3 linked regions of the Drosophila melanogaster genome follow. The gene in region 1 interacts genetically with each later gene. Each region holds a gene or a part of one and is shown on either strand. Other genes may lie near its edges.

Region 1 (3,753 bases):
TCCTCATCATCCAGTTCCAAGCTCAACGGAGGCGGCGTCGGCGGTGCTGTTTCCTCGAAAACATCGTAATCCATCTTCTGTTTCACCTGGTAATTAAATGCCTCGACGGTTTGTTTGTCTTCCAGCAAATCAGGTGGCTTTTCTCGAAATTCCTCCACGGGATCTGGTGGTGGAGGGGGTTCTAAAAAGCGAGAATTAACTGAGTATCACTTTGAGATTCGATAAATATCTAAGCTTGCCTTTCGAGCTGCTGACTAAGCCAAAATCTGAGTATTCGTCACCCTCGTCCAAATGGATGGTGGATTGTAAACCGGAATCGTCGTCTTCCTCACCAAAATCGATGGGCGGGGGGGTGCTGCAGAGCAGCGGTGGTACATTCACCATAATGCCAGCTGCAAAATTCAGTAAAAGGATCCCCTAAAATTCACTTCCTGCTTCAAGAAGAACAACAAAAACGCTGGGAACGGTTCGATCTTCTATCTCTCTCGCTCCACTTTATCACTGTGTGTGTGGTGTGTATGTGTGACGCAGGTGTGGAGGGCCTGCAAGTGTGTGTGTGTGTGTTAGCCACTCAAGGTCTGTGTTGGAATTTTCTTGTTTGCATTTAACACGCGTCAATTTTGTTGTGTCTCTGTATTATGTCTAATTGTCGCCTTATTGGTGGCTCTAAAAACAGATTTGCCGAATTTGCAAGTCGCGTTTTATCTGCAATTAGCCATGTTTTCCAGAAAACAATACTTTTTCCTCTGCCCACAGTGTGAACGTTTAACTTTTGGCCAACCGACAGTGCTGAAAAACGTTGCGCAACATTGATAACATACAAAATTTGAATCTTATCTTTTTCAATTCCCATTTTCGATTTAAATCATTATCCATAGTTCAGATAGAATAGTTATATTAGTTATATTTCTATAATAGATTTTTATTCTTTCCAATTCTTTTACCGTTAAAATTGTATTTGAAAATTATTAGTAACAAGAGTAAAATATACATGAAAGTCTAGGCTGCAGTATGTAATACGTCAAATTTTGTTGGGACACTAAACAACAAATAGTCGTCATAAAGGCTTCTTTTAAATTGTTATGATATTTTCCACAATTTCTGCATACTTTTTTAAGCTTGCTGGCAACGCCGCCACCGTACCAATACAACTATCGATAGCCGCCTGTCAGTTTTGACAGCTGTTTTAAGGTTATACTGCGCTGCCGTTGCAATCGCTCCACCAATTTGGTAATTTTGCTTATTTAACATCAAATATTGCATAAAACTAGGAAAACCAGGAATCTGTAAAGTGGAGCGAGACGGGGAACGCTATTAAGGAAGTCGGATAACTAAAGTACATCCTTTTCTTGCAGTTCACGGTCGGACAATTACATAACTTGAAGAAGAAACCATGTCGCAGGCTCCCGTTCGCGTTTCCCCGCTGATCAAGTTCGGCAGATGGTCCCTGCTCCTGGTGGGCATTGCCTACGGCGCCGCCCACCAGAGCCGCCTGTCCAAGAAGGAGGAGAAGTTGCGCGAGATCGAGGCACAGCAGAAGGCCGTCCGTGATGCCAAGCTCGCCGAGGAGAAGAAGCGCAGCGCAGAGGCTGAGGCCCGTGCCTTGGCTGAGCTTTCGAAGCCCACTCCCAAGCACTAGGATCCTTCAGGATGCAACATCCGCAGTTCCCTTAGCTTAAAAACATTGAAAAACCACAACATTTACACACGAAGTTCGCCCAAAAGGAGGAGCATCATCGATAGTGGAGCCACCATCTATCGATCACTGACTATCGTTTTTGTGTTTTCCTCTGATGCTTGTGCAAAAAACAGAATGTTCGAAATTAAATGATTGAAACAAAACCATTATGTAAATACTCTCAAGTGTTTCGTGTTTGTGATTAAGTGGTGTTCACTGGAAATATATTTATATTAGCATAGTGTTTGGATAGGAGAGGATTGAGAGAATTTGAGAGGGTTTGAGCTCCAAATTTGACTAGGAAGTACATATAAATATTTTTGCAAATTGATTATCAATAATTTTCCTAAATTTTGTTTTAAATCTTTTTTGATAAACAACAACTGATAGTTTACCTTATTGGATGCCCACTGTAGTTGCCAGCTGATTGGCCCACTTAAGATATTGGCGCCAACAGCTGATTTCAACCGGCGTTTATTTACACTTTCAATTCGCTCGCAAGTCGTCGCATGGCTCGGCTGTTTGATCAATAATCCCCCGGAATACTTCCAATTCCGGAGGTGTTGAGACACCTTTCGTGTTTCGGGGAGCCATTATATCACGCAATCCCATCGAGGACATGCCATCGCATCGCGATGACAAACTTTCTGGATCAATTGCCCAAGCATATCAGAGAAATCGCCGAGCAGGGTAAGAGTTTTGGGGTTCCAACAACTTTATTCAAGAGCCAACTAAATTCCTGTACTCCAGTTAATGTTCTCGCACCGGAGGAGGTGCTGACAACTCCCAAGGTGCGATTCCTGGACACCCGCCAGCAATCGCTGCACACAATCGTGCGAAAATGCACTCCGGATGATGTTAGGGTGCTCAAGGATGCGGCAGCCAAGTGGCTGGCAGAGATGCCCCAGTCAGGTGATTCTCAGACTAATGTATAAGTAGCCTCTTGTGTTTAGTTTGCCACTATTTATTACAGCGGATTCCCTCTTCAAGCCGCTTGTCAATGTTAGATGGTCGCGGGTGTCGTTTGGATGTTCCGCTTTAGATCGCTGCACGGGCGGGGGAGTGGTCACTCGTGGAATTACAGAGCTATGTGGAGCAGCCGGCGTGGGCAAGACCCAGTTGCTTCTTCAGCTATCCCTTTGTGTCCAGCTACCCCGTGAGTTGGGTGGCTTGGGCAAAGGCGTGGCCTACATATGCACGGAGAGTTCCTTTCCGGCGAGAAGATTGCTGCAGATGAGCAAAGCCTGCGAGAAGAGGCATCCCGAAATGGAGCTGAATTTTCTGGGAAACATCTTTGTGGAAAATCACATTGAGGCAGTGAGTCGACAAACCAATTTGTAGCCATATGCTTATTTAATATTAATCCAAAGGAACCTCTCCTGGCGTGCGTTATAAACCGCATTCCGCGACTGATGCAACAACATGGCATTGGCCTGATCATTATTGATTCTGTGGCCGCCATATTCCGGCTGTATAATGATTATCTGGAACGAGCGAGACATATGCGTCGACTGGCAGACGCTCTGCTCAGCTACGCGGATAAGTACAACTGTGCCGTGGTCTGTGTGAATCAGGTGGCCACCAGGGACGGTCAGGATGAGATTCCCTGCTTGGGATTGCAGTGGGCGCACCTAGGACGCACTAGACTGCGTGTTTCCCGGGTGCCCAAGCAGCATCGCATGGGTGATCAACTGATAACGGTGCGCAAACTGGAAATACTTTACTCACCAGAGACTCCCAATGATTTCGCCGAGTTTCTTATCACCGCAGAAGGTGTGGTCAATGTTCCAGAGCCATCTGTTCCCAGCCCACCCGCCAAAATGCGTCGACTGTGATTGATTGAATTTATTCTGTTTATTTTGTTATCGTTTAATTTGTTGAATTTAAAATGTGTAACGGCGGAGCGTTCAATTAGCCATACGATTGTCTTATACTCCTGTTAAATTCAGCGGAATATTTTAGGGTTTAATAATTTAAATTTACTTAGTTGCCAATCAGGTTTAGGTATCATTAAAATATATAAAAACAAATTTAGAAAACATGCTTTTCTTATTTCTTTTCAGGAACAAAAGGTT
Region 2 (3,753 bases), on another chromosome or scaffold:
AGAGACCAGCTGGCCGATAACCTTAACGCTAACCTTTTGCAGTGCCTCCGTTTCTCTTAGCAGGCCAAGAATCACATTGGGTTCAAAGCACAGAAGGTCCAGATGCTGGGCAATACATTCAAAATCGGGATAAAACAATAAATCATTTGCTATCATTTCGAGGTTGGTGCTTGAAAAGTCTGGACATGGCAGCTGTTGCTTGCATTTTCCGAGGTAAATACCTGGCAGTTTCTTTGGCAGTGGCCTGCATTTCGGGCAGTATAGCTCAATGCGATCTTTGACTTTAAAGACACTCAATTTACCTGGCTGGGAGCAGAGCAATAGGCGTATAACTTGAGCGCGGCCACTACGATTGTTAATGGTGGGCAGAGCTTTCATCAGTTGCTCCGGCTTTATGAAACCCGATATGTACAACTGCGGAAGGTTGCTACAGAATATCTCCTGTGTCTCCTCGGATTGAAATAGCCTCATGTACTGCTGGGCATAGAAGCTTTGCATTTGGGTATGAACACTAGAAGGTGTCTCCAAGCGAATGGCGCAAAGGTAGGACAGCTTCAAATGTCGCTGAAGAATGGCCAGCAGCTGGTGTTGCGTTTGAGTCTTTAAAAAGTGCCGGATGAAGGTGATTTGCATCAAAAGGGAGCAGATTTCCAAGTGTATGTGTCTTCGGTCTGCGGAACACTTTGATTCCAGCTCAACCAGCTGCATTGAAAGGTTATTCCAATTGGTATCCGCAACCTTTATGATTTCACACTGCAGCGGTAACATGGCCAGAACTGAGGAATCGATGTGACCTTCGTGCTCAGCTATTTTATGCTGACTCTGTGACAGAATTAGTTTCTCCAGCTGCTTGAAGCCTCGTAAAATAGCAATCAGTTTCTGCCAATCCTTCGACAATACTTCTTCCTTCTTCAAGATTTCAACGAGACTTTGGGTAAGCACTTGGACCACTCCTGAGCGCATCTCAGTCTGTTTCAAGCCCATTAGCGCCAATATGGGCACCAAATGTGTGGGGTGGCAGTGCCAATGGCTTAACATAAGCTGCTGCAAGTGCACCAGTTGCTCCAATGGTACAACCGAATGCTCTAGCTGGCCTTGAATATAGGAACTTAGGGTCTCCAGCAGTCCATCGTCCAATTCAATGGCTGTCGGCAAACTAAGGATCTCGTTCAAAAGCAGGTAGCCAAGATGGTGGGCTGGACGTGCACGCATATGCAGAACTTCTAGCAGTAGCTTTGTTGTTATATTGAGCCGTTTTAGCTCCTGGCGCGTCATACATCCCATGTCCAGCCACTTGGCTACTGCCGACCACATGATTGCCGTCGCCTCCAACGTTAATTGCGCATAATGTCCAACGTCCGGATTTGTTATCCAGCTGCTGGCCGACTGTGATCGTAGGACATTGTGACAGTAATTCAAGCTGGCCAGTTTTGTGTCCATGTCGCACTCCTTGAGGATTAGCAGAGCCTGATGAAGGCTGCCCGAGAAGATGTCGCCGTGCGTGGCGTATCCAATGTGATGGGCATGCTGGAGGACCTCCAGCAGGCTCTTGGCATACATGTCGGCTTGCTCAAGGGGCACCTTGATGTCCTCGATAGCGCAGTGCGGATCGAACTCCTGCAGGCATTCCACATCGCATCGGAATATTCTTACAGTTATGGCGGGTTTTCGCTCATTACTCAATTGGCCGAGGTCCAGGGAACTTAGCTGAAGGTGCGTCTCCTCAATGGCTTCCACATAGGCCAGTACAAGGCGTTCAAAAAGCTTAGGATGATTGGAACAGCAGGAGCTCAGTATTTTCCTTTGAAGATTGATGCACTCGCTGCAGCAGAAAAACGGTGTGTCATAAGTTTGGAGTCCAATGCTTGTGGCTCATCTTACCTGCTATCTGGAGATTCACTAAGGCACTTGGCCAGCTTGTTGAGCAGCCAGAGTAGGAATGTGTCCTGGAATTTGTTGTGCAGCTCCCGCACCAACGAACAGCTTATCAGACTCGGCTCCTGGCACAATATGTCTTCTATAACGCTGTACACGCCGGAAAAGTTGCTTACGTTCCGGTTTACGTGGTTGTAAAGCAACTTCCACATATCCTTCCGTTGTGTCGACATTTTGCCAAGTTTATTTAAAACTCGCAAAAACGCGACCTTTGTTTACGAAAGCCGGCATTCGCCGCACTTGTGGCTATCGATATGTTTGGCAGCTTCTTCTTCTTTTTCTTGAATAACAGCCACGTTCCAACTGCGATTTTACATATATTAATTTAAAAAAAAATTAGTTAATATATGTTTACATTACCGCGTTTTACACTTATTGACAATTTTCTTTTTCTCCTCAAATTTAAGATTTACATTGCATAATATGAAATTAACAGAAGAGTTTGCTAAGTGTAAACGGCGCATAACCCGCGTAGGTGTGCGCGTCGTGGTTAACAATTTACAGTCACACTAAAAATGCATAGTTAATCAAAATAAGAAAAATATTTTTATGTTATTGTAAATAAGTTTTTGAGAAAAAATGGAAGTGGAATACGACGACTCTGGTTGGCAGGGCCGCGCCAAAGGACAAACCAATCCGGAGGTAATTGAGTATAGAGCGTGTACGGCGTGGCAGGCAATCCCGGCAATTTGATGACGCTACTAGATAAACCATAAAAAATAACAACTAAACATCATGTTATCCCATCCCAATCGAAGGAAACGCTTGAGGACAATCCGCAGAAGACGATACAGGAATGCCTGGAGAAGTTCCTCACACCGGACTACATCATGGAGCCGGGGATATTTACGCAGCTGAAGCGCTACTTTCAGTCGGGCGGATCTCCGGAGGAGGTTATATCGATGCTATCCGAGAACTACAAGGCGGTGGCCCAGATGGCCAACCTGCTTGCGGAATGGCTCATCCTGGCGGGCGTCAAGGTTACCGAAGTCCAGGCCATGGTGGAGAATCATCTCAAGGAAATGATTCTTAAGTCCTTCGATCCCAAGAAGGCGGACACCATATTCACGGAGGAGGGTGAGACGCCCGACTGGCTAACCGAGATGATCGACCACTATACGTGGCGCTCGCTAATCTACCGACTGGCCGAAGAATATCCCGATTGTCTAATGCTGAACTTTACAATCAAGTTGATCTCGGACGCGGGCTTCCAGAGCGAGATCACTTCCATTTCGACAGCGGCACAGCAGATTGAGGTTTTCTCGCGGGTTCTAAAGACCTCGATCGTCAAATTTCTAAACAATCCGGATGATGTGCACGGTGCCATTCAGGAGTGCGCACGAATGGTCTGCCATGGCCAGCACACTTACGTATACTCCCAGGTGCTCATCCAGGTCCTCAGCCAGGAGCAGAAGGGTGGGTTCAACATGAAGCGGCTCTCTCAGGAAATTATTAAATACGCCCTGCAGAAGTATGAAAATAACTGACGATTCCACATAGTTAGTCATAACATAAATCCTTTCTTTTGCTTCATTGTTTAGCAATCAAAATGTAACGCCTATTACAATGGCCCTGAATGGTTCGGCAGTCTATCCGCAAGCATGTCAAGCCCTAACTTCCATGCTCACCCGCAATACACTGAATCCCGCCGATATCACCGTGCTGTTTCGCAACTACTCCGGTTCCGATCCACCGCCCATCGACTTGATACGAAACCCCCAGTTTCTGGAGCTACTGGTAGACGCGCTCTTTCGTTCCGGCGTTAAAATCAATCCCGAGCACAAACCGAAGTATATGTTTCTGCTAGCCTACGCGTCC
Region 3 (3,753 bases), on another chromosome or scaffold:
GCATATATTTTAACAAGAACTTGGTTACTAACGCTTAAATTTTAAACAATTACATTTTTGAATTCCTCCAACTTTATGTATCCTTGCTCCCAATTTCCATTAGTTCTAAATTCGCATGAATTCTTCTGTTTATGTTCAATGATTTGAAACATTCTCTAGAATACAAAGTGTAAGCACTTTTTTGGTCTAATTTAATTGCATGGGTGGTGCCACGCCCCCGGGATTTTCTTGTTGGTTCTTTGAATGCCTTTGTCACAAGCGGAAACCCCGCAGGAAAATGAGTGAAAACTGTGGGCTAAAACGTTGAAACACGCCCACCGACCTACGCACAGTAATATTTCATAAATACGTAAGCAATTCGTGGACTTACATACTATACGAAAATCAAGTGGTCTTTGCACTTACTTATATCTGATTTTGTAAAAGTTTATCGCGTAAATCGTTGCGTGGAAACATTTCGAGGGGGGTTATAAATAATTTCCGAAAGGAGCTTGCTGGCTAAAAATATACCATCGAAATGAAAATTCCCTTTCGGTGAAAACAACTGTTTTTTAAAAATTTAAGCACGCACACTAGTTGCAAATGAAGAGAGCGCGAGGGAGAGTGCCATAAGTTTATGTGAATTTCTTTATTCGGTCTTTCATTTTTTCTTCTTATTTTATTATTCTTTTTTCCTTCTTTTTCGTATGTGCAGAAAAGTGTACTCGTTATTACAAAGCACACATACACCGAGTGTGGGCGGGCGGGGGGTTTTCGCTCTCTTTTGGGGAAGAGAAAGAGAGAGACTGACGGAAAAGAGAGAGCGCCAACGAATGGGCTAGGAAAACTGACGAACGGAACGAAACGGAATGGCAGCCCAAGTATTGATTTGCTGGTTATGGTGCTGCCACTTCTTGTACTTACCAATGAAATACAATTTCCGATTGGCCCAAGAAAAGCTAAAGCTGAAAAGCTATTAGCTCTCTCGCTCAGAGAGGAGTCGCTAGCTGATGGTCGCTGCTGTTGTTGTTGTTGTTGCCATCGATGTAACGCATATTATTATTTAATTTCTTTCGATTTTCCCAGTTCCTTTTCCGATTCCGTTTACCCGAAAGTGGTTAGGTTTGGAAAGGCTCTGCTTTTTACCGACTTTTACCGAACGAAAACGACGACACACACAACGAAATGCAAATGCAATACATAGCTTTCTCACTCGCTCACTAGCTACCTCTCGACCGCTCTCACTCGCACAGCAGCAGTAGCAGCAGCTCTTTGGTTTTCAATCAGATTTTTCTTTCTTATATTTTCTTATCGCGATGGTTTTTTCTTTCGCTTTTTTTTTAAGAAGAACGGTCACCGATTTTTCACAAGGATTACGAACGCACCCCCACTGCTCTCCCCAGTCACTGAAAAGCCACAATAATAACAACAACAACGACAGTCTTGTTGGCAACAAATGGAAATATTCGCTATATGCTCTGCGCTGCTCTGCCCTTCGCAAAACTAATGTGTATCCGCGATGGGTAATGGGTAACTTGATATTGATACGATTACTAATATTATTGATAGCCGATTAGCCGACATAAGCGGTGGCCGCAATTGGCAAACGACGATTGTCCCGCTCCCGCAACGCAGTTAAATATTACTATTTTCCTCCGTCCACATCCACTTTGGCAGCAACAAAAGTATGTACGTCTCGGTCTCTCAAAAAAATTCACATTACGATACGGCAGCCATATTGTAGCAGTGTTGCCAGCTGGACGGTATTCAAAAATACTAAACTTTTTCTCCTGTTACTACTTATATACTAAATATACAGCAAGCTGTCATCTAAAAACCGCGCCCACAGACTGATTGATTAATGTGTAATTTGAAATAACCAGCTAAATTTTACATTCGAGAATGGTTAGAGGCTACACAACCTTATATACATAATTGTTTATTAAGATAATTTAAATTCATAATATATTTGTTCAATATTAACAACAACATAAACAACATACTTTCAGGGGCAAATGTATGAATTTTTGAAGTGCCGTGCCGACTTTGGAAACGGCCACTTTGATTTCTACACCGCGCCGTTAACCAACTGGCAGCACTGCACTAAGAGAGCGTGTTCTGAAATCTAAGAGAACAATATAACATTTTTTAAAAGAGAAAAACAACCAAAAAGACAGGTCACTGTTATTATTGAATTTAACTTGATAATGAATATTTTCTTATAACTGCACTTAACTTAACAAAATAATAACCATTTTTTTGTTTTGCTTTTATTTCAAAAAATATGTATTTGTATAATAAACAATTTATCTAGTTTATGTGAGTCACAAAAGTTTAGTTAACGATAAAAACAAACTTTGAATGATTGTCTTCAATGAATAAATAACTTAGTTACCAAAGCTTTATTCTCCCTTTAAAATCAAGTAGTATTTATATTACCTTCTAATCTTACTCCCTGACTTTCAATTCCCTGAAAAGTTCTATATTGAAAACCACGAAACTTAGAGCTACACAGATTAAAGAATGTCTAGCTAAACACTACTTATTTAGTCGATTATAAGTAAAGGGAGGACTAACCTTTAGTAGAATAAAGAAGCTTAAAAACTGTAAGTCAAAAATAAATTATTTGATAATTAAGTTAAGTCAAATTTATATAATTTCCCAACTGGCGGTGATCTTTTCCAGAATTTTTTCTAAGTTTTTCTAGATATTTATGACCTCACATCACATTAGTGTATTGGCTGTGAGGATTTTGAGTTAATCTCAATCCACTTCCTAAGTAAATCCCCCGGCTGCATAGTTGGCTGTTGCTGCGGAAGAGCAGTCCTCGAGTATTGATATTCACTAGGCGTTATTGTGGGTGTAGGTGACGGCATTGGCGGAAAAACTGCGAAATTTCGCTGACTCTCACGGGCTTCGGACCAGCCGTAGTCCCTTACAGTTGCAGCACCTGTTCCGCATTGGGCTTCTGGACGTGGCTGCGACTCAAATCCAGAAGATTGTGACGAAGTGCGGGAAAGTTGATTCTGCTGTTTCTCTTCGTAATGTCTCATTAGATTGGCAGTGCATAGATCTTGGTTCACACTTTGATTGGCCGCCACCCAGGCGCTTACATCAGCTCCGCCGACGTTCCTGTTTATGGACGGCAAACGCGATGGCATCAAAAGATTTTGCGTGGATCTAGTGAAAGTATTGCCTTGGGCCAGGTTACTTTGTCCATGGCGATACCATTGGGACTCTAATGGTCTCATGGGTTTCTGTTGAAACATCATCGCCGGCTGGACACGCGGGGCAACCACTGTAGAGGCATCTCCATAGTTCGAGGACCAAGCCTGCTGTTCCATCCGTTGCTTCGACAGATGCAACGAGTCCAGGGACAGCAAAGAAGCAGGCGCCTGAATTGTTCGCTGGGAAATCGTTGGGGCGGGTGAGTGGCACACAGAGGCGGTTCGCATGGACAAATTGCTATTGCTGATATCACTGTATCCACTTAACTGCTGACTGAGCATGCTCAGCGTTTCATCATCGCATTCGTCCGCACAGAGGCGATGGAAGCTCTCACAGGCAGACTCGTCCCGATTCACTTGGCTCAACAGATTGGTCCGGTTGGTGGCCAACAAAACAAGGGTTACAAAACTTCCCACCAGCTGTTTAAAGAATTTGTTAAATAAGATTCAAATATAAGTAAATGCACTTACTATAAAGGATATTCCACTGATGTAAGGATCCAGGAATTCGATACCCATGGCATACCCACTCCATAACAATAGAGCA

Evidence for each region.
Region 2: of spn-B (region 1) and mei-41, changing one suppresses a phenotype caused by changing the other (phenotypic suppression), as found in Drosophila melanogaster (2 studies listed by BioGRID).
Region 3: of spn-B (region 1) and mei-W68, changing one suppresses a phenotype caused by changing the other (phenotypic suppression), as found in Drosophila melanogaster (3 studies listed by BioGRID).

The regions. Positions count from the first base shown.
Region 1 is NT_033777.3:14,325,898-14,329,650, forward strand, and holds spn-B (spindle B), read left to right. Parts: upstream 1-2,153; 5' UTR 2,154-2,313; coding exon 2,314-2,368; intron 2,369-2,428; coding exon 2,429-2,590; intron 2,591-2,651; coding exon 2,652-2,995; intron 2,996-3,048; coding exon 3,049-3,513; 3' UTR 3,514-3,711; downstream 3,712-3,753. Other genes in the region: Afti (aftiphilin), read right to left, coding at 1-181, 240-384; ATPsynE (ATP synthase, subunit E), read left to right, coding at 1,394-1,639.
Region 2 is NC_004354.4:16,390,116-16,393,868, reverse strand, and holds the start of mei-41 (meiotic 41), read right to left. Parts: upstream 2,172-3,753; 5' UTR 2,109-2,171; coding exon 1,882-2,108; intron 1,823-1,881; coding exon 1-1,822. Other genes in the region: TH1, read left to right, coding at 2,515-2,577, 2,694-3,406, 3,477-3,753. UniProt on the Drosophila melanogaster protein: Serine/threonine protein kinase which activates checkpoint signaling upon genotoxic stresses such as ionizing radiation (IR), ultraviolet light (UV), or DNA replication stalling, thereby acting as a DNA damage sensor.
Region 3 is NT_033778.4:19,454,126-19,457,878, reverse strand, and holds the start of mei-W68 (meiotic W68), read right to left. Parts: upstream 1,710-3,753; 5' UTR 904-1,709; intron 1-903. Other genes in the region: CG7744 (uncharacterized protein), read right to left, coding at 2,709-3,626, 3,678-3,753. UniProt on the Drosophila melanogaster protein: Required for meiotic recombination. Together with mei-P22, mediates DNA cleavage that forms the double-strand breaks (DSB) that initiate meiotic recombination.